Pelodiscus sinensis: one gene and its partners. The protein of the gene in region 1 binds, or shares a complex with, the protein of each later gene. Links are inferred from orthologs where the notes say so. Each region holds a gene or a part of one and is shown in the gene's direction. Other genes may lie near its edges. The genes, in order: SFN, PIN1, MLXIPL and SOS1.

Region 1 (6,840 bases):
TTGAAGCATAAAGCCATAAATACGCCCGTTCCGAGCACAATAACTGGAGTTTCTGCCATCTCCGGCTGCTGGAAAGAGACTCGTGCAACTGAGCAAAGGCCGTTGCGGGCTCCTTGGGACTAGCCTTACTCGGCAGTGGGACAGTGGCCCCCCTCAAGAGACTGACGTAATTGAGTGAGATGAGCGGGGAGGTGAGACTTCCCCAGGCTCAGTATGGTGTGTTCACGGCTGGAATCAGAGGATTGCGAAGCAGCATTTCTACCAGAACCGGCCAGTACGCCGCCCCTCCCCCTCAGCCGTGAGCTGCTTGCGCCATGCGTGTGCAGGCAGAGGGGGCACCTGTCAGCGACCTAGGTAGTGTGTGAAGATGTTCTGCAGTTGAGTCTTAGCCCCTTCCTGGGTGTCCTAAGTGCAGTAGCCGTGTCAGTAGCAGCTTTTGCAGTCCCCGCATAGACTCTGCTGCCTCCCAAGGACTGAGCAGAAGAACTAGGCACAGGCTGGGCGGGTGTGAAATCCATTTACGCCTTGTACTTTTGTAACAAAATAAAGTTTCTCCTATTTACTGTACATGGGCATCTGGCTCTTGTTTCCCCAGCGCCCAAGGAGGGACGTCTCCCGGCTGCCCTGCATGTGCGCGCTCTCTGGAGAGGGTGGAGCGAATGAAGGTGGAGCGCTAGATGTGGCGTGTGTCTGTCTGACCTTCTGTGTTAACCATACGGGGCGGAAAGCCAGGAACGTCCTCACCCTAAAGCCAGCTTGGCACTGCTGGGGGCCCCGGAAGGTGGGGGTGAAACATGGCTTGGTCCCAAGAACGGGAGGCATCAAAGGTCTGCTGAACTGTCGCCATGTTTCCTGATTGGAGCCTGCCCAGATGCAAACCTCGTCCGTGCAGACCTGTTGGCTTTTTCTGCCCAACTGAGGCGGGGGCTCTGGCTCTTGCAGGGAAGGATGGGCTGGTTCAAACGAGCTCGGGGGTGGGGGGGCTGTGTCCTGCATACGCTTGCAGGCTAGTCCAGGGCTCTTGGAAATGGCCTTCTCCACAGCACTAGTCCCGTGTGGGAGCTGCTGCAGGGAGCACACGAGGGGAGGAGGAGACAGCCCTGCGGGTGGTGATCTGTGCCCCTCCCACGGGACTAGCTAAACTATCGAACCTCCCTTGTTCAGAGCTAGTTTAATAGATTCACGTCTTTCAGTCGGACTGAGTGCGCAGCTCCAGGGGCCGCCTTTCTCTCAGGTGCCCCGCAGGAAGGCAGCCGGCCACCGCAGCATGAGGATGCAAGGGGCAGTCCGGGGCGAGCTGGCCCCGGAGGAGCGCAGCAGGGCTGAGCACCACGCTGGACGTTGCGCTTCAAACGTTTACAGCCGGCAGGCCCCGGGAGGGGAACTGCAGGCTGCCGAGCCTAGTGCTGAACTTGTACTTCAGACGGCACCATGTCCCCAGGGTCCTTTCCCACGTGAGTCAGGCCGAAGAGACGGCCGGCTTCGTGCTCCCACAGTTTGGCAAACAGGCTTGGGGTTCGCACTAAGCGCAGTCCCTGGACAGGCTGCCGGCCCTAGTGTGTAATGCTGGGACACGTGTGTGCTCTGGCCCAGCCCAGGTCATGTAGTTCGCTTGGCCGTAGCTGCCGCTGCCTTTGGAGAAGGTTCACGTGGTGCTGCCCTCCACAGGGGCCTGTGCACTTCCACTGCAGCCCCCAGCCCCTCGTGGCTTGGCCACAGCTGTGCGGCGTACGCCCCAGGCAGATCAGGGCTTTTTAATCTGGGTCACCAACTGAGAGCAAGCAGAGATTCAGAGCGTGGCCAGGCTCTAGCTTTCCCTGCTGCAGACCTGCGCTGCCTTCCGCTCCCGGGGACAGACGTGGGATATGGTCGGGATAAACAGATCTCCCACTGAGAAGTGTGGCCTCAGAGCTGGGCCCTCCCAGGCAGACAGAGATGGGGGAGGGTTCCCATGTGAGACCCACAGCTGGGGCGAGCTTCCTTGGGGAAACTTCAGTGTAATCCTGGTGTGCGTGGGCCCTGTGCTATGGCCCTTGTGCGATCACAGCTGGGCGGGGGAGGTGAGACCGGCGCTTGCCCCCTTGCCTGGGAGAGTGGAGATCAGTGGCTGCATGGATCAGACATTGTTTCCCAGGCTGGGAACAGTTATTCCCCCCCAGAAGGGGCAGGAATGGGTATTTCCACAGAGGGAGGGGGCATGACATGAAGGAGCACTTAGCTGGAGCGCTAGCTCAGGCCCAGGGCCTGTAAGATGGCTGACTGCTTTCCTAGCGCTCCCAGGACTTGGCCAGGAACAGCTTCCCTGTGCCCTGCTATGGCATCCCCATCATTCCCTGCAGCCTCTAGGACTCCCGGCCCAGCCTCACACGAGTACCTAGATCCGACCAGTATTAGCCTGGCAGAGTCCTAGACTGGGCTGGGGCGGGGGGGGGCCTGCAGACCCTCAGAACGGTCGGTTGCGGGCGGCACACAAGTGAGAAGCAAAAAACAAAACCCCCAACCCCCACTGCCGTGAGCTCTGCCTGAGGAGGAGCAAGCCTCACCCCACATCCCCCTCTACACCAGAGCCTGGGGGCCCAGGCTACAAGAGTTTGCATGTTCCAGCCCCACGGGGAAGGTGGGGGGCTGGAGTGCCAGCGTGGGCTCCCCAATGCTGGGGGGGGTCTTGAGCCTCAGGGGCCTCATCCAGCCCCCAGGCCATAGTTTCCCCACCCCTCCCTAGACTATAAATACTTGCCCTGGGCTAGAAACTAGTGTGTGTGTGTGTGGGGGGGGGGGTGTCAGGGGAAAGGCTGGGGCCTGAGCACTAGGCTGGGACATGGGAAACTGGCAAGTCCTTGCTCTGACAGCGGTTTCCTGGGTGACCTTGAGCAAGTCACTTGCAGTGGGATTTTCAGAAGCCCTTTTGAAAAGGGCACTCGTCTCTGTGCCTTCACGCCCCCCCCCCCCCCCCCCGTATATACACTGGTGACAACGGCGCTTTCCCCTGGCCCGTTGGAGGTGTGAAGACCGCTATGTGGAAGAGCGGGTGGGAGAGGCTCAGATATTCTGGTTACAGGGCCCAGAGAGGTACCGTGCTCAGTCCACCCTGCCGTAGGTGTTCAGTTTCAAGCCTCAGTAGTGGGCTTTTCTCAACCCTTAAAAACCAGTTCTCCAGCCTCAGGCTGCGAGCAGGAGCCACCCCAGGCCACGCTGGTCCCACCAACTGGTGTCTGCCTTCACCGGACTGAAATCAGCCAGGACAGGGCCTTTCTGCAGCCAAGAGCTCAGCATCAGCTGGGGGGGGGGGGGCACTCAGATGTGGCTTTGCACAGATGAGTAGTTGTGAGTCAGGCAGCTGGAGCAATTTACCTGCAAAGGGGAACAGCTGAGTTACCGACCCCACCCTCTCCTCCCCAGGGCTGCATCCACCCAGCAGATAAGGCCAGTGATTAAGGCAGGTTTCAGTGCAGTGAATTTGTCAGGACGCCGCCTGGCAGCATCAGCCTGTGGAGCAGTCAGCCCCTGGCAAGTAGGAACAGGCTCGATCGGTTGGAGAGACAAACTTCAGGAGAGCAGGAGAGCCCGATTCTAATGGCAGCAGCTGATCCCAGAGCAGCCGAGCCCTGGCAAAAAGGGGTTTCCAAGTGTCTTCAGTCACTGGGGCAAGGCGCAGGCCCAGCAATCCAAGGGTGGGTACAATGCAGGGCCGCTTCTATTGGCTGAGGTGAGGCCTGTGTCTTAGAACGTCCTTTCCACCAGCCTCTGCCTACTTTCTGGCCTAAGCTCTGTCCCCTGCCCCTCACTCTGAGCCAGGCTGGTAGGAAGTAGCCTGAGAGGCTCTTATTTTAAAGCAGAAGGTCTGCAGGGGGACGTGGTGCTGTGTCTCAGCGGAGGCGTTTCACGGCAAGTTGCCCGAGTGCCCCTTCCTAAAATGGGAGGGGGGGTACTTGAAATATCCCGTCCCGTCCCTTCCCCACGGTCAGTCGACTCTTGGCCTTGCTTCCAGAGAGCATTGTGGTCTCCCTGACTCTCCGTCCCTCAAAGGGAAGGGGCGGTCATGGGGCCCTGTTCCCCGCCAGTGCCGGCCCGGCGTTCCCAACCTGCTCCTTTGCTCCGTAGGCAGCTTTGGGCTGCACAGGCACAAGCACAAGGTGACTTCTTTCTGACATCTGGTCCATAAGCGCATCCTTTGGGAAACTGAGGCCAGCTCCGCAACACAGTCCGAGTTCAAAGGGAGTGAAATGACTTCAGTGCGAGGTGTGATTTGAGCCCCGGATTAGGATTAACCTGCTGTTGGGGGAAGAGCCCAAGGGACCTGCCAGTGTTTTCAGAGCTTCTTCTGCCCTATAATGTTGGAGCTGCTCAGCCACCCATCTGTTTAGGAGCTTGGTCACGGCCTCTTGCCACGTCTGCCGCTGTGGTGCCCAGCCAGACTCCACTGAGGACGCTAATGGGATGAGGAGCTGCCTGGGGAATCTCCCTGCGTTTGTGTCAATCACACTTAAAATGATAACGTGCCTTTGGAGGGCGTTTGGGGCTGTTGGAAGCTGCAGGATTGGCCATCTCAGTGCTGGAGGGTCTCGAGCGAGCCCAAGCGCAGGTCAGCCGCAGGGCAAGATTCCCCCCGGAGGGTCCTTCTCTGGGCAGGAGAGATGAGCTGGCCCTCCCTGGCCTCGCCAGTGGTTGGCTGCCCAAAAGGGGGCTAGGGCTGCCCGTGAGGAGAGACAGCCAAGCACGCTGTTTGGAAGGAGGCCTTGCGTGAAGATGGATTTCTCTGACATTGGCAGGTGCAGAATCCGTTGCGCTCCAAGGTGAATCACTGCCGCTTGCCTTTTAAGGAGAGTGCTGTCTGGCAGGAAGTGGGGGAGGGGTTCACTGAGTGCTTTTCCGCCACGCCCAGCCCTTGCTCCAGGCTGAGACGCCAAGCCAAAAGCCGATCCCATCAGCAGAGCGGAGCAGAGACTCGGAGGGCTCCTGAGGTGACTGCCTGCTCCCTTTCGAACCGGCCGCTTTGCCACCCGTGCTCCCAGCCATGGCCAGAAACCAGCAGGTGCAGAAAGCCAAGCTGGCCGAGCAGGCGGAGCGCTATGAGAACATGGCAGATTTCATGAAGGCCGTGGTGGAGCACGGGGACGAGCTCTCCAACGAGGAGCGCAACCTCCTCTCGGTGGCCTACAAGAACGTGGTGGGGTGCCAGCGCTCTGCCTGGCGGGTCATCTCCAGCATCGAGCACAAGACTGAGGAGGGCGACGAGAAAACGCCGCTGGTGAGCGAGTACCGCGAGAAGGTGGAGGGGGAGCTGAAGGACGTCTGCAACGTCGTCCTGGGGCTGCTGGACAAGCATCTCATTAAGAAAGCCAGTGACCCAGAGAGCAAGGTCTTCTACCTGAAGATGAAGGGAGACTACTACCGCTACCTGGCCGAGGTAGCCACCGGGGATGACCGCAAGGAGACCATAGAAAACGCCCAGAAAGCTTACCAGGAAGCAATGGACATCAGCAAGAAGGAGATGCAGCCCACCAACCCCATCCGCCTTGGGCTCGCCCTTAACTTCTCCGTCTTCCACTACGAGATCGCCAACGCCCCGGAGCAGGCCATCACGCTGGCTAAAACCACGTTCGACGAAGCCATGGGCGACCTGCACACGCTCAGTGAAGACTCGTACAAGGACAGCACCCTCATCATGCAGCTGCTCAGGGACAACCTTACGCTATGGACGGCGGAGTGCGCGGGAGAAGACGGCGGAGAAGCCGGCGGAGAAGCCGGGGAAGAGCCTAAGAACTGAACTGCAGCCCCCTGAGCGACGGTCGCTTTTCCCACCCCTCCCCCTTTTGTGTAAGACGCCGCTCGGCTCCCGACAGCTCTGCCTGGAGTCCGACAGCAAAGGGGACTGGCTGGTCTGTGCATGTTATTCCCACTTTTTACTCCGTCTTCTCTCGTGGCAGCTTTGGGACAAATCCCCCTTCTCTGGCCCTCCCCCCCCCAACATTTCTTGTGATCTTCTTGCAGTGGGAGAGCACCTGTCACGTTCCACCAACCCGGGTGTAACAGCGGGTCTCCTTGAGCTCCAGCCCTGGGGCCTGATGGGGCTGCCAGCCATTAACATTTAAAAGGGGAAGCGGAGGTTGGTTTTCGGGGCGAAGGTACCAAAGTGGAGCGGTGGCGGCTCACTCGCGCGCTCCCCTTTGCTGCCTGTGGCGCCGTGCTCCGCAGGGTTCTGCTGGGTGTGGCCGGCCGGCCGAGGGAATCTTCGGAGCGGGTGACGAATGACAAACTTGAGGTGCCTCGTGTATTTGTGCCTTGCCGAAGCCGCTGCCTGCCTGTCCCTCTCCAATAAAACTGCACTTCCACCCCTGCCTTTGTCGTCCTCGGCGTCGCTTCTTTCCCGCACCCTGTACGCGGCTCGGTCAGCACTGCCTGCCCCGCTGCACAGGGGCCAGGGAGTCCTGAGCACGCCCCCGGCTCGGCAGGGAGCGAGCGCAGCCTGGGCCCAGGCAGGATGCCTGCTGGCCAGTGCGTGAGGGCTGGCCCCCAGCAGAGGCGCTAGGCTGAAGTCGAGTGTTGGGAGCAGGCTGTGCCCCAGAGAGCCCAGCGGGCCATGAGCCCAACTTGCATTTGAGAAGTGATGGGGATAGGTGGGGGTGGAGGAGCAGCAGCTTTCGCAGAGGAGAGGGACTTTGCGGGGCTCGGGCCGAGGGAGTAGGAGCCCCGGGAACAGCGTCTGTTACCCTTTCTCAGGCTGTCTCCAGCGCCGAGTGTCTGACTCCCCTCCCTGCCCAGCGCTGCTGCTGCTCAGACTGGTTTGAAACCCCAGCCACTGTCCCGTGGCTTCCTGCAGCTAGAACCCACCTGGCCCCA
Region 2 (7,892 bases), on another chromosome or scaffold:
TGAAGGGGCTGGCTGGAGGTACATGCGTACACAGGCCCAGCCCCTCCCTACCCTGTGTCAAGGACTTTACTAGTCTTGAGCCTCCCATCTTCCAGGCACCCTTTGGTAAGGGGAGGGGGGCTGAAGATCTTCCCCAATTCGTAAGGGAGCATTGTGCACTTTCTCTTGCTGCCTGGGAAGCACAGGAGGCAGAAGAACTTGGTTTTCCAAAGATACCAAAAATTAATAAAGGACCTGAGCAATTCAGGGTAGTTCTTCTAGTCACTTAAAAGATCCACAACCTATGAAGTGGAGCGATGGACATATTATAAATACATAGCTAAACAGAGACACTTCCTAATCTGACGTAGTTGCTTGTTATAAACCAAAGGTCTCATTTGTCTCTTTGGGTACTAGTGACTGATGGTATTGGTAGGCTACCATAAGATAACTGGTGGACCTCTGGGAAAAAGTCCCTTACTAAATTGAGTGGGTAGCCTGTGACATGGGACTCATTTGCTGAGTTATGGTATTGAAGCTTCCAGTATTGCATATGACCCATGTTCCCTTGCATGACACTAGCAATTTATTTTATCAATTTGCGATAGAAACACACAAAGTGGGAAGGAGAATTATGTGAGAATTTGTCTAATGTATCAAAGAATAAACTTGCTGTTGTAATTTATTTTGAATTATTGACCAGGGAGAAACCTAATGTCACCTACCGTTTGAGCATTTCCTGTGGAATTCCCCTTAACTCATTCCTTTCAGATGAAATCCATGATGGCATGAACCTGGAGTTATATTATCAGTAGTCTTGAGTCTAGCTGCAGTTACAAATGGCAGGCATCACTTTTCTACATTTTTTTTCTGCTATAAAACTTGTCTATAAACTTTATTTCATGTAAGGTAAAAATTAGAAGCTCAAGTTGTGCATTCAGTTTTATCAGATATCTTCAGTTTTGATGGCTATAAAAGTGGCTGCAAACTTGTAAGAAGGCTGTTTTATTTTTAAAAAATGTTTGCAATAAAAGTTTCCTGATAACTTTTGTATCCTGCTCCTGGATTTGTCAGAAGAAATCTCTTCTTTAACTGACATAGCAGCCCAAATTAATGCAGCTGTTGGAAAGCAGTGGGCTTTAGACCCCATTTAACTTTCTGGAATCAGAATAATACTGTAGCACTCTCCATCCATCTGCTCAGAGGGACTCTCTTCTAGTTAGAGTAAGCAGCACATTTGCTTCGGGTTTGTATCTGTCATATTCAAGTTAGATTTTTTTTTTAATTTTTAAAAGAAATTTTGCATAGTACTGTGGTTAAGCTATGATCTGGGCAGGAAAATACGACCAACTCTCCCATCACACACTTGTTTCTAAGAGTGAAAGAAGAGCAATTGATTAAAAAAAATGCTTCAACAAGTAATAGGAATAGCAGTAATAGCCTTCCGAATACCTTCATTCTTAACCCATGCAGTCTCCGGTTTCCATGGAAAGTCTGTCTGATACAACTTCTCTCAAAGCTGTTATATTTATTCCCTTGTCACCCTTTTCCAGGCTCCTTTTGCACTAAACCCACCCTGTAACCTGTACTGGGATAAGGAACCTGATACGTTTTCCTGCACAACCTGAACTAATCTCTTGAATTCCTGTCTCATTGTTTGTAGCTGCTCCATCTGCTGGATGGACTTGCATTTTTGTGACATCCTTTCTCAGACACCTGGTGCTTCACTTTCTTCTATTTTGCCTGTAGTGACATCTTGCCTTTTCTACTAACTTTTAGTTATTCATCTCTTTGAGCCTTTTTTATTTGTGCATCAATAAAGTTCCTTCCTGCTTCTCTGTTCTAGAAGCCCTGACAAAATGAAACAAGAGCAATCAGATCACCCAGCAGTTTACAAAACAAAAAACAGAAGCCAAGCTAATCACCAAATGTGTAACCTGTATCCCATGATGCTTTTTATCCTCAACGTAAGACATTTACTAGGACTAGAAATTATGTTTAACATTTGGAAATATGCTTCCTAGTGTATTTTGGGGAAAACATTTACCTGCTAGTAGTAATATGTGATACCACTTCTAACATCAAACTGCAAGATCTCATCTCTAGTTTGTACAACAAGCTATTATTTGAGAGTTAAATGTGATATGAAATTGCACATATAATAGGGAGAGCAAAAAGTCACCTGGATGCAAAACTTCTGATGTGGCCTCACCAATGCGGAATAAAGGGGAATGATCACTTCCCTAGATCTGCTGGCAATGTTCCTACTAATGAACCCAATATGCCATTTGCCTTCTTGGCAACAAGAGTGCGCTGTTGATGCATCTAAGCTTCTTGTCCACTGCAGTCCCCAGGTCCTTTTCTGCAGTATTGCTGCTTAGCCCATCTGTCCCCAGCTGGTATCATTGCATTGGAATTTCTATCTTGAGTGTGGGACTCTACACTTGTCCTTGTTGACTCTTATCAGATTTCTTTTGGCCCAATCCTCCAATTTGTCTGGGCGACTCTGGACTGTCTCCCTGCCTTCTAGCATATCTACCTCTCCCCACCATCTTAGTGTTATCCGTGAACTTGCTGAGGGTGCAATCCATCCCCTCGTCCAGATCATTAATGGCCTTAGGACTATCCCTTGGGGCACTCTGCTTGATACTGGCTGCCAATTAGATGTTGAGCCTAACAATCTAGCCATATTTCTATCCACAATATAGTCCATTCATCCGAGCTGTATTTTTTTAACCTTCTGGCAAGATGAGGCCATATCAAAAGCATTGCTAATGTCAAAGTATATCAGTCCACCACTTTCCTCATATCTGCAGAACCAGTTATCTCATCATAGAAGGCAATTAGTCAGGCTTGGTCTGACAGGAATTCAGATTGACTGTTACAGATCACCTTCCTCTCCCAAGTTTTTCAAAATGGATTCCTTGAGCACCTGCACCATGATTTTCCCAGGGACTGAATTGAGGCTTACCAGTCTGTAGTTCCTTGGATTCTCCTCCGCCTCTTTAAAAGATGGGCACTGCATTTGCCTTTTTTGGTCATCTGGGACTTCCCCCAGTAGCCGTAAGTTTTCAGGGATAATGGCCACTCCCTCAGATGCATTAGATACTGCCCCATAGACTGAGCATATGATTTGTTTTAAATGGTCCTTATCTTGTTCTTTTACTACTGAAGGCTGCCCCTTCCTCCCCATTACTGTACTGCTCAGTGCAGCAGTCTGTGAGCTGACCTTGTCTGTGAGGACCAAGGAAAATAAAGCATTGAGTACTTCAGCTTTTTCTACATCATCTATCACTAAGTTGTCTTCCTCATTCATCAAGGATTCCTACACTTTCTCTGACTCCTTTCGTGCTGCTAACAACCTGTAGAGACATTTTTTCAGGGAAAGATATAGCTAGGTGCCAATTTAGTTTGTAACTGGAAAAACTTAAACAACAAATAGTTTTGCAGCAGTTTAGAGACTAACAAAACATGTAGATGGTGGTATGATAAGAACAGTTTAACCAGTTTTTAAAATGATACGTTAGCGGAAGCTGCTTATAAGAACTTGTAGTTAGTGTTCCTAGTGAAATAGACGGAATGTTGCTGAGTTTCAGGAGGTTGACTGCAAACTGGGCACCAGCAAGATCTCCATTTACAATGAAGTTTTGAGACCAAAATGATTTAACTAATGTCTTGATAGAGATTAATTTTCCTAATATCCCTGTGAACCAGTTACCACAGAAGAGAGAGATGGCCAGTGGAAGAGTCTTAATAGAACCCAGGATTTAAGAATTATTGTTGTGCCATAATTTGTAAACTGCCCCAAGAAGGCTGTACAATTCAGGGAGCTTGGATATTAATCTATGTAGAAGTGCTGGGCTGCTAACTCTTGTGATTCATTACTAATTTCACAATATTTTCTTTAAAGCCCCAGCTGCTGGAGCTCTGTGATTGTGACCCTCAATTGTCAGTAAGGAAAAATATGTCTAGCCCTCCTGCTTGCAGAGTGCAAGACTAAAACAGCAAAACATAAAACTTCAAAAAAATTAAATCTCCTTTTGCAGGTGCTTGACACATGAATACTTAGGATTGGTATTACAGAGGGATTTTGTGAGCATCAACGGAAGTTGGGGAAAGCCCTACACATTTTACAAGGGCAATACGCTCTGTACAATGAGCAGCAGCAGCTGATGATGCAAGGGTAGGCATCAGCTGGCCCTTGAGCTCCGGCAGAGAGAGAGGGGTCAGGGGCTTGCCCTGCTGCAAGTGTGCTGTGGCTCCCACAAGCAGCAGCATATCCCCCCTTCGGCTTTTACTTAGATGGCTCCATGTGCCGCTCTGGCCCAAGTACTGCCCCTACAGCTCCTGTTTGCTGGGAATATGACCACCGGAAGCTGTGGAGGCCATGCCTGCTGAGCAGGAAAAGTGCAGAACCGCCTGCCAGCACCTCCATGTAGGAGCTGGGTCGGGGTGAGGGCTGCTGCTTGAGACAATTGTCACATGGGGCCTACGCCCCCAATCTCTGGGGCCCCACCGCAGGGCTGCACCCCCCAGCCGACTCTCATGCCCAGCCCCACTTCGCCAGCCAGCTTCCCCTCCCTGCTGTGGTTCGGCGGCTAGCGAGTCCCTTGCACAGGGCCCGGGGGCTGCTCCAGGAGCCCCGTGCCAGGGACGGGGGGGGGGGGCATGTCCAGAACCCCCCCCCATTCCTGGGTGTGGCGGACACGCGGCCAGGGAGGCCCCACGGCAGCGGGCCGGGACATGCTGGTCTCAGGTCTCCCTTGTCCCGCCTCGGCTTCCGTCCCCTCCCTCCAGATTCACTTCCGGGATCATTGCGGCCTTTCGCCCGTAGCCAATCACGGATCTTCTGCGCCAATGAGACCGGGGCCAGGGCGGGGCCGGGACCGCCTCTCTCTCTCTCAGCCAATGGCAGCCGGCGGGGGCGGGGTCTCGGCCTTCCCCGCGCCAATGGGGCGCCCTGGCGCCAGGCAGGCGGGGCGCGGCCGGGCGGGCTCGCGGCGCAGGGAAGATGGCGGAGGAGGAGAAGCTGCCCTCGGGCTGGGAGAAGCGCATGAGCCGCAGCTCCGGTACGGGGGGGCGTGAGGGGCGGGCGGGGGCAGGCCAGGTCAGCTATGGGAGTGGGGGGGGCCGCGGCCGGGGGGGGTGAAGGGTCTGAGGGGGGGCAGGGCTCTGGGGGCGGGGCCGGGGGGCTGAAGGGTCTGAGGGGGGGCAGGGCTCTGGGGGCGGGGCCGGGGGGGTGAAGGGTCTGAGGGGGGGGCAGGGCTCTGGGGGCGGGGCCGGGGGGGGCTGAAGGCTCTGGGGTTGGGGGCGGGGCCGGGGGGGGGTGAAGGGTCTGAGGGAGGGGGCAGGGCTCTGGGGGCGGGGCCGGGGGGGCTGAAGGCTCTGGGGTTGGGGGCGGGGCCGGGGGGGGGTGAAGGGTCTGAGGGAGGGGGCAGGGCTCTGGGGGCGGGGCTGGGGGGGGCTCAGGGCTCTGGGGGCGGGGCTGGGGGGGGCTGAGGGCTCTGGGGGTGGGGGCGGGGCTGGGGGGGCTGAAGGCTCTGGGGGCGGGGGCAGGGCACTGGGGGCGGGGGCGGGGGGGCTGAAGGCTCTGGGGTTGGGGCGGGGGCGGGGGCGGGGGGTGGGGCTGGGGGGGCTGAAGGCTCTGGGGGCGGGGGCAGGGCGGCGGGGGCGGGGGGGCTGAAGGCTCTGGGGTTGGGGGCAGGGCTCTGGGGGTGGGGGTGGGGGGGCTGAAGGCTCTGGGGGTGGGGGCAGGGCTCTGGGGGCGGGGCCGGAGGGGGCTGAAGGCTCTGGGGATGGGGGCAGGGCACTGGGGGTGGGGGCGGGGGGGTTGAAGGCTCTGGGGGTGGGGGCAGGGCTCTGGGGGCGAGGTCGGGGGGCTGAAGGCTCTGGGGGTGGGGGCAGGGCACTGGGGGCGGGGCTGGGGGCGCTGAAGGCTCTGGGGGTGGGGGCAGGGCTCTGGGGGCGGGGCCGGGGGGCTGAAGGCTCTGGGGGTGGGGGCAGGGCACTGGGGGCGGGGCCGGGGGGGCTGAAGGCTCTGGGGTTGGGGGCAGGGCTATGGGGGCGGGGCCAGGGGGGGGGTTGAAGGCTCTGGGGATGGGGGTAGGGCTCTGGGGGCGGGGCTGAGGGGGGCCTGAAGGATCTGGGGGCGGGGCTGGGGGGCTGAAGGCTCTGGGGTTGGGGAAGGCTGTGGGGGTGGACCCGGGGGGGGGGTTGAAGGCTCTGGGGTTGGGGGCAGGACTCTGGGGTGGGAGTTGGGGTGGGGTCTGCGGGGTTGAAGGCTCTGGGGTTCGGGGCGGGGCCTGGGGAATTAAAGGCTCTGGGGTTGGGGGTTGAAGGATTTGGGGGCGGTGCCTGGGAGGTTGAAGGCTTTAGGGCTTGGGGTGAGGCCGGGGGGTTAAAGGCTCTGCGGTTGGGGGCAGGGCTCTGGGGTTGGCGCTGGAACCTGTGGGATTGAAGACTCTGGGATTCGGGGCGGGGCTGGGGGGGTTAAAGGCTCTGGACTCCGGGGCAGGGCTCGGGGGGGGGGGGGGGCGGTTTGAAGGCTCGGGTTGAGGGGTGGGGCTGGGAGTTGAAGGCTTTGGGGTTGGGTGTCATGTCTATGGGGGTGGGGTGAGGTCTGGGGTCTTGAAGGCACTGGGTCTGGGGTGGGGGGGCAGGCTTGTGGGCAGCTGGTGCTGCAGGCACTGGAGGGCAGAGAGTTTGGGCCTGCAGTGAATATAGCTTGGAGGGGTGTGCCTTGGAGATCCACTTCCCCAGCTGGGTGTCTACTGGGCTGTATTTACTTGGTCCCCATGGGTTGGTCTGGGGCAGGTTGTTCTGTTCCATGGAGTTGCTCTGGGGACTCAGATGTTCCCTTGAGAAGGGGATTGGGGAGGGTTCCCTGAATAGAGGCAGAGTGAAAGTGGCTTTATTCATGATGGGGTGGGAGGGAATTTAGTGAGGCAGCCTGGGGTTCTCACCATGTCCTTTGCTTGGGGATAAGCTTTCCCTGTTATATAGGACCTCCTGGCTAGGGTCCATGTTTGTTCACCTTATGGTGGATGGGTAAATCTGGAATGAAGCCCACGGGAGGTGTCTGTGTGGGGAGAGGAAGTGGATGCAGGTCCCAGTGCAGATGGGGGGGGCTGTTCTGATATGGGGTAAGGTCAAGTCTGGCTCAATGCCTTGGTACCCTACACGTTCAGGGTTAGAGGCAAATCATTGCACCTGTCTTCACTTCATTCCTTGTAGTTTTGCCAGGACACTGACTGTTCCAAGGTAGTTATAATTGGACGTTTGATCCTTGTGTCCTTGGGCTGTTGCCTTCTCTGCCATCCTCTATGTCTGAGAGTCAACACTTCTCTTCAGAGCATTTTGCTGGTTTGCTGGTTGAAATCCTTTGGGATAAAAGGGGTTAGAGAGAGGGAGGGAGTCACTCTGTCTGTCTGGTGAGAATTCCTGCAAGTGCAGGAATGAGCTGCTGCCAGCTTGGAGGGAAGGAGCAGAAAGCATCTCTAGGTTACAGTATTAGTTGGCTTGGCTTCACAGTGGTGTGGCCCCCGTCCTCGTGATTGCACGCTTCAGGGGAATTTTGCTGCTTATTTTAAAGAGTGGCTGCTTTTGGTCGAGGTATGTTTTTTTGTTAGCAACAGCAACCACAGACACATCCAGGATCAATGCTCCATTGTTTGTGCAGTGCCCACCACACTATAGTAAGACATGCCGTCTTGCTCAACTTTCTAATTACAAGATCATACAATTGTACGACTGGAAGGGGCATTTAGAATTCATTTAGTCTGGCCCCCTGGACTCCTGGCAGGACTAAGTATGATCTTGACCATCCCTGACTGGTGTTTGTATTACCTGCTCTTTAGAACTTCCAATGAGGTAAATTTCACAGTGTCTCTGTGTAATGTAAACCACCCTGTCAA
Region 3 (7,771 bases), on another chromosome or scaffold:
GCAACAAACCCCGTTGCCAGCTTTGTCCACATATTCCTTCTGCTGATACCATTATTGGACCTAACCAAGTGAGTTATAAGATCAAGAACACATATTCCTGCGCATCCAGTAATATAATTAATGCTATCATGTGCCGAAAGTGTCCGTATGCTATGTACGTTGGACAAACATCTCAGGCACTTCGCCAAAGGATTAATGCCCACAAAACAGATATCAGACAAGATCACAAAGAGAAAACAGTTTCTTTCCATTTTAACCAGAAAGGACACTCTCTCAATGACTTAACCACCTGCATTCTGCTACAAAGACCTTTTACATCTGTCACATTACCGAATTGGAGGGAAGCAGCCAGATCGCTGCTGCGCCCCTAGTTGGGGGTGTTGGCCCCAGAAATTGGTATAAAAGGGAGCCATGTGGGGTATTGAATGGGAGCTTATTGTTTGTTGATCTTATGTACGCTATTTATGTGAATATATAATGTCTGTGTGTGTAGGTAGGAATCTGTAATCTGTGTGGAAGCTGAATATTTCTCTGAATGTGGGTAAGCATTGCTATGGACAGGCTGAGTAGCCAGGCCCTGTGGGACAATGGCTCTCAATGGGCTATGGACACACCCAAAGAATGGGGTTTGTCATCTGAGGGCAGCCAGCAGGGAACATAGAGATTGGCCTCTGACCAGGTGACTTGCTGCATACAAGAAGAGGCCAGGAAGGAGGTATAAAGAGGCCATGCGGTCGATGCCATGTTGTTCTCAGCTCAGCACTTCATCCCAGAGGCAGCAATGCAGGGATTGAAGAGCCCGGAAGACCTGTGGACCCATCCTGATCGTAGGATGTGCAATAAGAACTTTTAAACCAGCAGCTGCAACACCTCTGCTAGAGCCTGCATCGAGGACTGGGAGATTCGGTGCATGTAACGTACTGTACTTTAATAACCTTACTCTCAGGCTTTTCTTTCTTGTAATAATAAACCTTTAGATATAGATTCTAAAGGATTGGCCCAGTGTGATTTGTGGGTAAGGTCCAGAGGGTAAATTGACCAGGGATCTGTGGCTGGTTTCTTGGAACCGGACAGAACTTGTTCGGGGTAGGTGGGATTGGGTGCTAGGACCCCCCCACCTGTGTATGAGGCCCGGGGCCATCTGGGGCACGGTTATTGCTGGGGCGTCGGAGGGGTTTTGCTCGGGAGGCTTCAGGCAGGCAGCTGAAGCGCTCTGTGGGACTGGTTTGTGGCCTGTTTGGAGAGGTCACCAGTCGGGGAGCTGTAAGGAGCCCCGGATTTGAGCAATTCGCCCTGAGCGGACGCCCTCAGCTGTGCCCAGACACGGCCCGGTCCGTCACAGTTGCATGCTCTGCCATTCTCTCTGCATGTTCTGCTTTTCTCATCTCAAGTTCCCGATCCATCTCCTGCTTTCTCTTAGCAATTTCTTCATCTGCCTTCCGCCTTCTTTCAGCAGCCTCCTTGGCTTGCTTCTGCTCCTTTTCATCCACATCTCTGGTTAATAACAGCACTACCAGATCTAGTTTAGAGGCCCTTTTCCTAAAGGCAATGCCTCTCCCCGAGCACAAATCCTTCAGAGCCTCTCTATTTAGGCTCTCATACTGGCACTGACTCATTTCGGCTGCCCTTTACCCAACCAAACTCTCAGTACTAAAAATCAAATTTAGACAGCGTGGGGTCCTGATCCCAAAGCTCAATTGACCAAGATCTGTGGATCCTGCCGACTACGCCACTGTGACGGACCGGGCCGTGTCTGGGCACAGCTGAGGGCGTCCGCTCAGGGCGAATTGCTCGAATCCGGGGCTCCCATTCAATACCCCACATGGCTCCCTTTTATACCAATTTCTGTGGCCAACACCCCCACCTAGGGGTGCAGCAGCGATCTGGCTGCTTCCCTCCAATTCGGTAATGTGACAACATCTGCACTTGAAAGGGAATCCTCTGAACTGTCATTCATGTTAAAATTCGACACTCTCCGGGAAGGAATGAACAAACACTCAAACTATCTTACCCATTACCAAGATAGCTTCCCCAATTATCACCTCTAATACCATTAGCTCACAGACATCCCACTCTCCCCACCTCTAATATCATCAATTCACAGACACTTACCTTCCTTCCTTCCCCCCCGCCCCCCCCCCCCCGCATCCCCCTCCTGTTCTGAAATGTGATTTGTCCTTTTCATATGTGTTCACTTTTTTTAAATTGTATCCTTTGGTATATATGGTTGTGACTATTTTCTTCCACTATTTGATCTGAGGAAGTGGGTCTGGCCCACGAAAGCTCATCATCTAATAAACCATCTTGTTAGTCTTTAAAGTGCTACATTGTCCTGCATTTTGCTTCGGTTTTCCACAGTTATCCTTTGATGACTATTGTCAGGCTTCCCATTGTTATCTCTTTTGTCCTGTCTCCAAAGTGTATCAATTCTGCTAATTTAATTCTAGCCTCCTGGTTGTCTTTAAAGTTCTCACTTCTTCACCATTTGGGCATTCGTGATGGCTTTCACACTTATCCTTAACTATGTACATATCCACCACTCACAACAAATGATTTACAGCAATTGTTTCCTGTTAAAGAATCTTCACTGAGCATTTTAGACAGGATTACATTTTAGAAAGGATCATATAGTTACCAAAGAAATTTCAAAAAGTCCTGCTGGGACATAAGTGCTGCAGGACCATTTGTTGTTTAAGTTAATTTAATTTACAATGTAGACAAGAGGCACAACTTAATGTGTAATGCTAACAAGAAACAAGACTTTACAGCCAACATTGTCTAATCATGAAGGATGGCTGGCAGGCTCAAACTGAAGCATACAGAATTTAGAATCATAGAGCTGGAAGAGACCTGAGGAGGTCATCAAGTCCAGCCCACTGCCCAAAGCAGGACCAAATCCCAACTAAACCCGGCCAGGGCTTTGTCAAGCCGAGACTTAAAAACCTCTAGGGATGGAGATCCCATCATCTGCCTAAGTAACCCATCCCAGTGCTTCCCCACCCTCCTAGTGAAATAGTTTTTCCTAATATCCAACCTAGACCTCCCCCACTGTAACTTGGGACCATTGCTCCTTGTTCTGCCATCTGTCACTATTGTCCATTGTCTTTGGAACCTTCCTTCAGGAAGTTGAAGGCTGCTATCAAATCCCCCCTCACTCTTCTCTTCTGCAGATTAAACAGCCCCAAGTCCCTCAGCCTCTCCTCATAGGTCATGTGTTCCAGCCCCCTAATCATTTTGGTTGCCCTCTCAAGACCCTCTCCAATGCGTCCACATCCTTTCTATAGTAGATGGCTCGGAACTGGACACAATATAGGCAGTCCCCGGGTTACATGGATCCGACTTACATCGGATCCCTACTTACAAATGGGGTGAGGCAACCCCGCACTAGCTGCTTCCCCCCAGCAGACCAGGGAGACGCGAAGCTACCCCCGCCCCCCAGCAGACCAGGGAGACGAGGAGCGGCTTTTCTCAGCAGACACCTCAGCTTGAGAATAAAGGACTGAGGGAAGCGAGGTGTGGGAGAATAAAACTGAGCTCTGGAGAAATGTTTGGCTAGAGTTTCCCCTACAATATGTACCAGTTCCGACTTACATACAAATTCAACTTAAGAACAAACCTACAGTCCCTATCAGTAACCCGGGGACTGCCTGTACTCCAGATGTGGCCTCACCAGAGCCGAAAAAAGGGGAATAATCACTTCTCTGGATCTGCTGGCACTGCTCCTCCTAATGCACCCTAATATGCCTTTAGCCTTCTTGGCATATCATTTCATATAATTGTATAGCACTTATTACCATCATTATACTTATATTCTGACACCAACACTCAAATACGCCATTTTGGCCATACTCCGTGATGCTAGGAACATTCTTCTCAATGTTCTCATTCAGTCGTGACCTGGCTACAGCACCGCACCCCCCTTCAGCCTGTCCCCTGTGCAGACCATCACCCACAGACAGCACAGAGCATGGAGACTTGGGCAGAGCCTTCACTGCAGATGCATCCTGGGTCAAAGGGTGAGGAGATTCTCAATGGCCCCCATGGGGCTGGCTGCTTGGCTCCCCCAGAAGTCAGAGGCAGGTGTGAGCCATCTTTGAAAATCTCCCCTTAGCACGTCAGTTGTAAGTTTTCAGGCCCAGGACGGAGTAAGTCTGCCAGTTGTTCTTGGGGGCCTTGCCTCCTCAGAGGCCCCCGGGAGAACTTGTCTGTATCTTTGCCTCTCTCTGGCTCAGCGGAAGACCCTGGAGGAGCCAGTTGAAAGCAGGTTCTCACGCTGCCTGTTTCCAGGGCCCTGGGCATGACTCCGCGAGTCGCTCCCTGCTTTGTGCTGAGCTGGACCCTGGTCGCTATAATTGCCTGTTTTTGTCCCTTAATCTGTATTTGTTCCCTGGGAAATGCAGGGGAAACATTAGTACAGACGTGCTAGGTAAATACCGTGTATTTTTCTCCCGCTCGCAGGCAGAGCAGCGCTGAGCCAAGGTAAACAAAGCTAACTGAGCTGTAGTAGCAGACCTGTCTCTGGCCTCCTAGCTGCGGGGGCTGGGAACAGATGGAAGCTGGAGCGGCTTCTCCTTTAATGTAGGCAGCTTGTCATGGAAATAGACTCTAGTGTGACCCAGAGCTCCCCCTTTTCCCTGGATCCAGCAGACAAGGGGTTAATTCCCTGCTCGACTCCAGCGCCCACCCCTGTCCCCGCCCACAGGCATGGCTGGAGTAAAGAGGGCGGGGTGGGATTATACCTGGGGGCCCTATAAATAGGACTGCCAAGAAGCAGGGGAATGGCAAGCTAAGCAGGACACAGGACAAAGAACAAGTCAGGGAGAGGGTGGGGAAGCAACATGCAGATCTGGGGGCATGGTGCACACGCCTTATGCTAATGGACATGTGTGGGGCTCAGATACTGCCATGATGTGGGCCTCCCAGGTACCCAGACCCCAGACAGACAAAGAGGGTCACACTGGTGGGTGGCTGCTTGCACCGGGCACCATCGCTGGAATGCAGGTGGGGCTGCATGGAGCCTTTCTGGACCCACAGGTCAGGACAGTCCCAGAGTTAGACTCTGATTCAGACTCAGAGGGTCTGGGCTCAGGCAGTGTTGGGCCAGGGTCAGGCTCCCTGCCCCACTCCCAGGTCATCCACAGCGGCCACTTTATGGTGTCCTCGCCGCACAGCGACTTGGTGCCCCGCCGACGCCCCCACCATTCTGAGCCGGAGCCAGCAGATCCCCGGACCATCGACCCAACTCTCACCCGACTCTTCGAGTGCATGAGCCTGGCCTACAGGTAAGTCTGAGGATCCTTTTGACTGGGACCCCTGGATTCCCCCTCCCCAGCTCTGTGTGGCAGGCCTCTGGCATATAGACAGGGGTCAAGGACATTGATCACATTTTGAATTCAGATCAAAATATACAGTTAGAACAGGTGCTTTGGCCATGGCTCATCCCCCAGGCTCTTTTCCCTTTTGAAAATCGCTCCAGCAGCCATTTGGTTTTTCTTTCAGAAGAGCCCTACAACTGAACATCAGCATGTTATCTCTGCCCCCCCTTTGTGTCCCTGGCAGTGGGGGGTGGATATTAGCGACATGATCACAGACTAGCTTGGTACTAATATGGGCTCATAGCCCCCAGTATGAGTAGCAGATTTTGGGGCTTTGCAGTGGGTCAGTTTCATATTAAAAGAGAAACGAGCGATACGCACTTGGTGCTTTCTATTTACCCAACAGCCCCAAGTCCCTTCACAGGGGCCAGAGCAGCACACGGGCTGTTGCACTTGCAGAAACCCGCTGAGACATTGCTCCTGTTGCCCAGAGGCAGTGCCCTTCCCTCAGCCCTTTGCTGTTAGAACACATGGTCTGCTCTGCCAGCCTGCCCTCCCTTCTCAGCCCTGTTTCAGGCTGCTTCCCAGAGGACCTAGACAGAACAATCTGCCTCCCCTCTTCTGGGGCTGCTCCCTCCAGCTGGACTCTCCAGCTCTTTATGGGGAGACAAGGCCCCACTGGCCTGGCCCCCCTCCAGGTGCCGAACAACACTGGGGGTATGTCTAGACTACATTGTTTTTTCGAAAAAACGTCACCTGCGTCCACACTGCAATGCCGTTCTTTGAAATGAAATGGAAAGAATACAGGGTTTTCGACATTGGTAAACCTCAGATTACGAGGAAGAACGCCATTTTCGAAAGAGCTCTTTTGAAAAAAGGCATGTGTGGACGCAGAACAGGGGCATTTTTTGAAAGAAGAGGGAATCGAAAAAAGCCCAGGTGCCCTGGTGGCCATTCTGCTGCGCCATTCTGTGCACAGCAATCAGGGATTTCTTTCCATGCAGTCTGGATGCTCTCTTTCGAAAAAGCAGATCAGTTTTCAATCCGGTTTTGAGGTGTGGATGCTCTTTCAGAAGAAGCTTGCAGTCTAGACGTTTCCCGGGGTGCACGGTGACGCCCCAGCACAGTCTACACTCTAGGGATGTTAAATATCGGTTAATTGAATAGTCGAGTAACCTCATGAATTCTTATTGGTTAGTCGACTATTCTATAGTCCCTGGGGGCAGGGCCGGCAGCCAGTGTGCTCCGGCCTCACTCTTGAGGAGCCCTCTGCCACCCTGCGCTGCTGCCTTTGCCTCTGGGTGCCAGGCAGGTGCTGGTCTGTGAGGGGAGCCAGTTAAAAAACCAGCTCCCCTTGCAGACCGCCTGCCTGTTGCCCTGTGCTGCTGCCTCTGATAAAGAGTCAGCAGCTTGGGTGGCAGCAGCCCCTGTCTGGGTGGAGCATCTGAGCTCCCAGACCTGAGCCAGGCTGCCTGCCCGCCCAGCTCCTACTACACTTTAAATGCAGAGCCGCAGCAGGGGCAGGTCCAGGACCCATCACAAGCCAGAAATGAGCCGGGCTGCTGGCCAGCCTGCTAAAAATGCACTGGTGGGGGAGGCGGGGAAATGCACGTACTCTATAGCATTAACCTATGCACTTTTGCTTATTGGTTAATCGGTTCATTGACTACACTATCACATCCCGACTGCAAAGGGCTCCCAGTCAGATCTGGTAGCATTTTATGCTTCCTTTGCACTGGCATAGGAGCCGAGCAAGCCTTTGTGCCTAGCCCTTTCCACGGAGAGTTTCTCTCTCGCCCATGTATTTCATTACCAGGCACACTGCTCACCTAGATACGTGTGGAGCATCTTCTGCTAATGAGGCTGCCAGAGTTCAGCTTGATGACTTCCAGGAAAGGACTCAGTAAATAGCACGGTGCTGGGTCACGCTGGGCACTTTTCATCAAAACAAGCTTTAAAAGAGGGCTGTTCTGTTGGCCCAGATGAGGCTTTGCACTGACAGACTGCAGTCCGGCAGGTGCTATCCTGGTTTGGGATGAGAAGCCAGAAACAAAGACATTTTCAGGAAAAGTTGTGGTTAAATTTTTAATGTTCGGGTTCACTTATTGAATATTTTTAAAGAATGAAAACCAACATTTTTCTTTTTCATTTTTAATTAAAAAAATCCCAAACAAAAAAAATCTTCGATGACCAACTAAAAAGAAACTCATCATTTATTTTCACAATGTCCCCTAAGAAACCTCTGGCATTTTTAACCAGCTGTAAAATGTGGGGGTTCCCTCCACATACCATTGTCCCCCATTCTCCCTCCATGTTGGGGTTCTGTATATTGCCTCATTTCTTCCCCTCACCCTATGCCAGGATTTCTGTGTGCCTCCCCCATTTCCTTTCCCCATCCTGATGTCACCCGTACCGCCCAACCCAGAGGCTTTGTGTATGCCTCCATGCTTCTATTT
Region 4 (7,242 bases), on another chromosome or scaffold:
GGGGGGGAGAAAATCAAAATGACCATTGCGACTCTCATGATCGGGGATGATTCTGCAGCTCTTACAATTAAATATATGCAAATAGGATTTATTAATAACCAGAGCTCAACAAACTGCTGTTTCTACTTGCCCGTGGTAAGTAGATTTCAGCTGGTCACTCTATGCGCCCCATTCTCCGGCACTGCGCGCATGCACGGTGCGGGGCTGGCGAGTAGCTCTCACCACAGTTTGTCGAGCCCTGTTCATAATAATTGAGGAGGACTGAGCTTTCCTTGCATCTGGTGGAAGTCATTCCCCTCTGGATAATTCTAATAAAGAGCAGTTCATAGCCTTTAGACCAGTGTTTCTTAAACTGTGTTCTGCAGCACTGGTGTGCCATGAGATAGTTGGAGATGTGCCGCGGAGAGCAATAGAGTTCAAAATGGCCATGCTTAAAGGGGCAGGTGACCTTTTTTCCTCAACTTTCCCCCAACCCCTCTCTTTTTTTTTGGTCAACTTTTCCCTGACCCCCCTTTTTTCCCTCAACAAAAAATCCTTGGTGTTCCTCATAAAAAAAAATGGTTTGGTGTTTCTTGGTCTTAAGTTTAAGAAACACTGCTTTAGACTGTACAGGAATAGGCGCATTAAATACAGCTTCAGGGAGAGAGGGATGGTAAGCCTGAACTTCGGAGAGGCTTCACTTAGCTCTGGTGAGGATAGGTGCACAGAGTAGGGAACTGGAACCCTTTGAGGCCAGCTCCAGATTGAGCATTTTCCTGATTCTGACTTCTGCCTGTGAGACATTCCCCAAGAAAGAGCAGGAATTCTCCATTCTATGAGGGATCACTATAAACGCTGCTGTTTCCAAAGAAGAGAGCATTTGGGCAACTTCAATTATGTCTGGACTTTACTCTCCCACTAAAGCAAAATTCTATCCCCATTCGAAGATAAGTAAACTTCTGTAAGAGCAAGGGAACACAATGTAATACAAAGGCCACCTTCACGCGAGGAAAGCATCTGGACAGGCTGACAGTTGGTGGGTCTTGATTGCAGTTTGTGCCACTTGGTCTCTCTTGGAAACAAGTGCCCCTCTCAATCGCTGGGGACCTGTAGAGGTGACTGCTGGTGTCAGCAATACTGGAGGAAAAAAAGTCAAGTCATTTTGTCTTCTGGTTTCTCAGCTATTGGGGGTTACACAACATGGTTCTTTTTTTTGCTGAGAGAAACTTTTAAAAAAATCATGTGGGTTAGACACTTCATTTAAAAAATGAAAGCTGAGATTCTTAATCACTTGCCTCCAGGAGCTGGAGAAAATGCCAAATATTTGTGAAATGCACTTTATAGACTAACAACATGTAGATGGTACCATGAGCTTTCATGGGCACAGCCCACTTCTTCAGATGACTGGAGTTATGAGTTTGGGATGTATACACTCAAAATAAATAGGAGGGGAAGGGGAGGGAAGAAAAAAGCAGGGGGGTGGGTGGGAGACAGAGTATTAGTAAGTATCTGGAGAATGGGTACTTAAACGGAAGCAGATAAAAATCAAAGTCAATAGAGCCCCCTGTCAGGAAGGAGAAAACACAAAGAGCTGTTAGCACCTTCAGTGGTTGTTAAATTGGGAGTGTCCCAACCAGCTTTCATCACAATTGAGTCCATTAGCATGTGAATTGAATTTGCAGATGAACTGTAATTCCAGTGTTTCCCTGTGGATCTGGTTTGTAGAGCTGGTTTGTGACAAGACAGCTACTTTGGAGACCTGTCTGTGATTTGGAAGGTTGAAATGTTCCCCAATAGGTTTCTGTACATTCCCTTTACGTATCTCTGATTTGTGTCCATTGATTCTTTCCCGCAGAGACTGTCCAGTTTGTCTAATATATGTAGCAGTGGGGCACTGCTGGCATAGATCAAATTACTGGATGTGCAGTCAACTAACCATTCAATTTGGTGGCTTATCTTGTTTGCTCTAGTGATGAATTCACCAGTACAGAAACATGGGCAGAGTTGGCTGCAGGGCTGGGTTCCTGGAGGCTTATGATGTGGTTGTGTGGCATGGTTACCAGAAAGAATTTGTTTCACATTAGGGGGCTGTCTGTAAGCAAGAATAGGTCTCCAATCATCTGAAGAAGTGGGCTGTGCCCACAAAAGCTCATGATACCATCTATATGTTTTATTACTTTATAAAGTGCTACCAGACCATTTGTTGTTTTTTTTCTGTAAGGGTATGTCTACACTTGCACCCTCTTTTGAGAGAGGGATGCAAATGAAGACATTTGAAATTGCAAATGAAGCTGGGATTTAAATATCCTGCACTTCATTTGCATAATGGCATTATGGCGCTATTTCTAAATAACAGACGCTATTAAGACACGGTTATTTCAAGAGAAAACTCTTCTCTCGAAATAACCTTTTTTGCTCATACAATGAGGTTTACCAGTTATTTCAAGAGAAGGATATTTAAATCCCAGCTTCATTTGCAATTTTGAATGTCTTCATTTGCATCCCTCTCTTGAAAGAGGGTGCAAGTGTAGACATACCTTTTGCGGAAAAGGTACCATACCATACGCAGCTGCTTTTGCGGAAAAACTTGCCAGCTGTCTACACTGGCTGCTTGAATTTCCGCAAGAACACTGACGATCTCATGTAAGATTGTCAGTGTTCTTGCGGAAATACTGCTCCCGCTCGGGCAAAAGCCCTCTTGCGCAAATGCTTTTGCGCAAGAGGACCAGTGTAGACAACACAGTATTGTTTTGCACAAAAAAGTCCCGATCGCGAAAATGGCGATTGGGGCTTTCTTGTGCAAAACCGCATCTAGATTGGCACGGACGCTTTTCCGCAAAAAGTGCTTTTGCGGAAAAGCGTCCTTGCTAATCTCACGGAAAAACTTTTCCATTAAAAGCATTTGCAGAAAATCATGCCAGTCTAGACGTAGCCGAACAGTTGTTCTTGTGCAAAAACTTGCCAGGTGTCTACACTGCACACACATTCTTACGTAAGTAAATTTAAGTACAGCGTCAGAAAACAGGGCTTTTCCCGGGAGAGTTATTCCTCTCCCCACGAGGAATAAGCCCTCTTGTGCAAGAGCTCTTCCACAAGAAGGCAGTATAGACGGGCAACATGATTTTCTCACACAAGAAAGCCCTATGGCTAAAATGGCCATCAGAGCTTTCTTGCACAAGAGAGTGTCCACAGTGCTATGGGCGCTCTTGCGCAAAAGCACATTGCTTGCCCAAAAGCACATGGCAGTGTTAATGCGCCCTTGCGGAAGACCTTTTACACAAGAACTCTTGCGCAAAACAGTTCTTGCACAAGAAGCCTGCAGTGTAGACGTAGCCTAACAGACTAACTCGGCTACCCTCAAAGTAAAATTGCTTGGCCCCTGGAGCAGTTTCTCAGTTGATGACAGTCCTGGCAGTTGGTGCGGGTTAACAGTTTTTGTCATCTGAAGACAGGTGATGACACATGTTGATAGCTGATCACTTGTGGTTGCAGGTTGTGACTGATCAGGAACTTTTCACCAGCTGCTTCCATGTGATCAAAAATTATGGCCATGTTGTGTCTGTTCATGAGTCTGACAGCTGGAGAGAACTGGTTACATTTGGCGTACAATGAGGACAAGTGGAGGCCGTTGGTGCCAATTTGGGATATTTTGATGGAGGTTGCAAAACCGAGTGGAAGCGTGACAGGGTTGGACATCTGTGCTAGGGGGTGATAATTTGACGGTTAGTGATGGTCTGTCTGTCTCAGAGCTGGTGAAAGAGGGTAACACTTCAAGGCCATTTGACAACAGGTGACATTTTTGTTGTGGAGATGGTCACAGCAGGGCTGTGGTGTGGGAACGTGAGGGTTTCATTGCACGGCTGTTGCAAAAGGTGGGGGGGGGGGTGAAGCTGTTGTCTGCCTGGCCCCATAGGACACGTTTTGCCCCTTCACTGGGAGCCAACAGTGGAAGCTGCCTGGGCTTTTGGGGTGGGGGGGGGGTAGGTAAAGCCCTGGCAGCCGGGGGGGGAGGGGGGCAGGTGAGAGGGCATCAGCCAGGTGGTCCAGGGCCGGGGCCAAAGAAGGAGCCGCTGTAGCCCCTCCCGACCTGCAGGGGGCGCTGCCTGCGGAACCGCTTCCCCGCGCCGGCCCAGCTCGGCGCTCGGCTGCGATTCCTGGCCGCTCGGCCTGAGCCGCGCTTCCGCGCTGAGGCTGGGAGCGAGTGGGCGGGGCGCAGGAGCAGGCCTGGCGCGCCTGCGCCGTCCCTCCCCGCGCAGGCGCCCTCGGGAGTAACCGTCCGGGCGAGGAGAGAGGGGAAAAAAAAAAAAAAAAAAGCCCCGAGAATTCCAGCCGCGCTCGCGCTCCCGGCGCGCAGACCCCTCCTCCTCCGTGAGGCGGCGCGTGTCCTTCCGCCCTGCGGCGCGCGCGGGCCGGGGCCGTCCGTTGGGCCGGGCATGCCCGCGCGGCTGGCGGGGCAGGGCGGCCGCGCGCCTCCCCGCCGAGCGCTCCGCCGGCCTCGGAGCCCTGCGCGGGGCGGGCGCTGAGGCGAGACCGGGGCGGGGGCGGGATGCGGCCGCCGCCCCCCTGCGCTGAGCCCTGGCGGCTGCTGCCCTCCGGCTGCCCGCGCCGCGCCCCCCGCTGACCCCCCCGCCGCGCCCCGCGCCCGCCGGCGGCAGGATGCAGGCGCCGCCGCTGCTCTACGAGTTCTTCAGCGAGGAGAACGCGCCCAAGTGGCGGGGGCTGCTGGTGCCGGCCCTCAAAAAGGTGAGGGGGCGGGGCGAGCCCCCGGGGGGCGGGGCGTGGGGCCGGGCGGGGGAGGGGCGGCCCAGTGGAGGGGAAGGATGGGGGGGGGGTCTCCAGTGGCCTGGACGCTGCTCCCGCCACTGAGGGGGAGGGGCGGCCTTGTGGGGATGGTCCAGGAGCCACCCCCGGCCCTTTCCAGGAGTCGGCTGGGTCGCCCCCGGCCTCCCCGCCCGCTGGGCCTCCCTTCGCGCCTACGGGCGTACGGAAAGCAGCCGCAGACCTCGCCGAGCGCCACGGCGCGGGCCCGAGACGTGACCGAGCGCCCCGGCCCGAGACGTGACCGAGCACCACAGCGCGGGCCCGAGACGTGACCGAGCGCCCCGGCCCGAGACGTGACCGAGCACCACAGCGCGGGCCCGAGACGTGACCGAGCGCCCCGGCCCGAGACGTGACCGAGCACCACGGCCCGAGACGTGACCGAGCGCCACGGCCCGAGACCTCGCTGAGCGCCACAGCGCGGGCCTGAGACGTGACCGAGCGCCACGGCCCGAGACCTCGCCGAGCGCCACGGCCCGAGACCTCGCCGAGCGGCGCGGGCCCGAGACCTCGCCGAGCGCCACGGCCCGAGACCTCGCCGAGCGCCACGGCGCGGGCCCGAGACGTGACCGAGCGCCACGGCCCGAGACGCCGCCGAGCGCCACGGGGCGGTGTTACGGCAACAGGAGCACTTGGTTCATTTTTATCGTTTAGTTATCTAATTGATCCATTTGATTGGAAATATCGTACTTACGTTTCAGGGTATAGTCTATGCAGCAGCATACACAAGTCACTGGCTATGTGAAGGTTTCATTTTGTACTAGGGATGTAGAATCCCATGTAATTGGTTAACCGGTTAAATGTGAAGTTTGCTTCACTTTTTAACTGGTTAAGGGCCCCCTGCTCCCTGGCGGAGCCAGGCTGGAGCAGACCCTGCATGTGCACCCTCCTCCCCCATGTCCCTCAGGCCTGCTGCAGACAGGGGCTGTTGCAATCTTTTGGAGCAGCCCCTGTCCGTGGCAGGCCTGGCGAGCTGTTCCAGCCCTTAACCAGTTAACTTTTCACATTCCTACTTTGTATTGATTTCGCTAATGCTTTTTCTTTAGCCTCTTATAAAAATAGGCAACTATACAGATAAGTTTATGTACCCCTGGAAGACCCATGCATATCCCCAGGTATATGTACCCCTGGATGAGAACCAGTGGTCTAGTTGCTATCTGAAAGAAGTCTATGTAAAGGATTCTCTAAGCTTTGTCAGTAGATTTGGAGCAAAAGTGTAGGGAGCAAGAGTGTAGGAAACATGATCCTATCCTATTTTACTAAGGCCAAGTCCACACTAACACTTCACAGCATTGTAACTTTCTGGCTCAGCCACACTCCCAGCGCTGTTAGCTCCTCCCCTCGCAGAGGTGGTTTACATAAGGCGCTGGGAAAGCTCTCAGCACTCTTGCGGTGGCCACACTTTCAGTTTAAAGTGCTGCTGCGGCTGCACTTTAAACTGCAGCACTTTAAACTGTTAAGTGTAGAGAAAGCCTTACTTCTGGTTTGTGTCTTGGTGCTTCTCTGATGTCGAATTTGTGGTGTGACGGCCTAGTTTATAGCCCAAGGGTGGCTATTTTTTTTTTTTCATCATTACAGCCTCATTTATCTGCATTAATGACTGGCTGATACATCACATGATATCAAATATTGCAAATACATTTTAAAAATTAACTATTTCATATCTGTTGTTTTGTTTGTCATAGTTCATATTGTACTGAATGTACTGCAGTAAATTTTATGACCTTCGTAATGAGAGATCTCACTGTGCAACACTATGCTATTAAGCATACTGAAACACAGGGGGAGATTCTGATAGATTTTTCTTAAGTTGGTATGTTTGCAGATAACAGTACATTTGGTTAGGTTCTCTTGTGTTGTCCTTTTGTGGATCGTTGTTTTTAGAGTAACTATATTTTGTCAGGCTCACTTAGTCTTACCATACCAAAGAGATCAGGCCAGTGAAGCCTTATCCTTGGACATCCTTCCTCTTGTGTTCCAGCTTGGCTCAGAAATCTATTGTTATTGTTTAATTGTAACTTTTTGTGGGACTTCCTTTCTTTTCCAAGTTTGTTAGTTGTGGAATGATTTTTCATCTCAAAGTTGCTTGTTGTCAATCTCTTGTAATTTCTGTTTTTAAACAAATATCGCTTTAAAGGAACTTGCACAGCCTTTTACACTGAAATATTTGTTTATCCCCCTGCATGTTTGTGCATATGAAATTTCTCAGCTGTGATGGTTAGCCTATGTGTCTTAGCCTTTAAAAATAACATTCAACTCTTTTTATTAAAGGAAAAATATAATAAATTCTTAAGGCAGAACTTAGAATTTTACTTTTAAACTCTACAAGAACTTGAGGGGGTAGACTTTTATAGTGAAAATATTTTGCTTAATTAGAGTTGTGGCTTAATGACCTGACTTTAGTTTTAGTATAATTTTGTAAGAATGCCTTTTGCTAAGGATGCT

Evidence for each region.
Region 2: the proteins of SFN (region 1) and PIN1 are in contact, whole or in part, in a crystal structure (PDB 7AOG), measured with the Homo sapiens proteins. The link is inferred for Pelodiscus sinensis from reciprocal best matches to the Homo sapiens genes SFN and PIN1. Residues at the interface, in NP_006133.1 of Homo sapiens: Tyr19, Lys49, Asn50, Arg56, Arg60, Lys122, Asp126, Arg129, Tyr130, Pro167, Gly171, Leu174, Asn175, Val178, Glu182, Ile219, Leu222, Asn226, Leu229, Trp230; in NP_006212.1 of Homo sapiens: Arg68, Arg69, Pro70, Ser71, Ser72, Trp73, Arg74, Glu76.
Region 3: the proteins of SFN (region 1) and MLXIPL are in contact, whole or in part, in a crystal structure (PDB 8BTQ), measured with the Homo sapiens proteins. The link is inferred for Pelodiscus sinensis from reciprocal best matches to the Homo sapiens genes SFN and MLXIPL. Residues at the interface, in NP_006133.1 of Homo sapiens: Gly53, Arg56, Ala57, Arg60, Gln67, Arg129, Val178, Tyr181, Glu182, Lys214, Thr217, Leu218, Gln221, Leu222, Arg224, Asp225, Asn226, Leu229, Trp230; in NP_116569.1 of Homo sapiens: Arg117, Ile120, Arg121, Asn124, Trp127, Arg128, Ala129, Trp130, Tyr131, Ile132, Tyr134.
Region 4: the proteins of SFN (region 1) and SOS1 are in contact, whole or in part, in a crystal structure (PDB 6Y44), measured with the Homo sapiens proteins. The link is inferred for Pelodiscus sinensis from reciprocal best matches to the Homo sapiens genes SFN and SOS1. Residues at the interface, in NP_006133.1 of Homo sapiens: Glu14, Asn42, Ser45, Val46, Lys49, Arg56, Phe119, Lys122, Arg129, Tyr130, Pro167, Ile168, Gly171, Leu174, Asn175, Val178, Glu182, Leu218, Ile219, Leu222, Asp225, Asn226, Leu229, Trp230; in NP_005624.2 of Homo sapiens: Arg1158, Pro1159, Glu1160, Ser1161, Ala1162, Pro1163, Ala1164, Glu1165, Ser1166.

What each region holds. Positions count from the first base shown.
Region 1 is NC_134735.1:2,336,073-2,342,912, forward strand, and holds SFN (14-3-3 protein sigma), read left to right. Parts: upstream 1-4,909; 5' UTR 4,910-5,014; coding exon 5,015-5,767; 3' UTR 5,768-6,339; downstream 6,340-6,840. UniProt on the Homo sapiens protein: Adapter protein implicated in the regulation of a large spectrum of both general and specialized signaling pathways. Binds to a large number of partners, usually by recognition of a phosphoserine or phosphothreonine motif.
Region 2 is NC_134729.1:14,659,181-14,667,072, forward strand, and holds the start of PIN1 (peptidyl-prolyl cis-trans isomerase NIMA-interacting 1), read left to right. Parts: upstream 1-4,889; 5' UTR 4,890-4,990; coding exon 4,991-5,048; intron 5,049-7,892. Other genes in the region: UBL5 (ubiquitin-like protein 5), read left to right, coding at 751-794. UniProt on the Homo sapiens protein: Peptidyl-prolyl cis/trans isomerase (PPIase) that binds to and isomerizes specific phosphorylated Ser/Thr-Pro (pSer/Thr-Pro) motifs.
Region 3 is NC_134731.1:16,406,514-16,414,284, reverse strand, and holds the start of MLXIPL (carbohydrate-responsive element-binding protein), read left to right. Parts: upstream 1-4,766; 5' UTR 4,767-4,854; coding exon 4,855-5,282; intron 5,283-7,771. UniProt on the Homo sapiens protein: Binds DNA as a heterodimer with MLX/TCFL4 and activates transcription. Binds to the canonical E box sequence 5'-CACGTG-3'. Plays a role in transcriptional activation of glycolytic target genes. Involved in glucose-responsive gene regulation.
Region 4 is NC_134713.1:196,920,096-196,927,337, forward strand, and holds the start of SOS1 (son of sevenless homolog 1), read left to right. Parts: upstream 1-4,242; 5' UTR 4,243-4,635; coding exon 4,636-4,722; intron 4,723-7,242.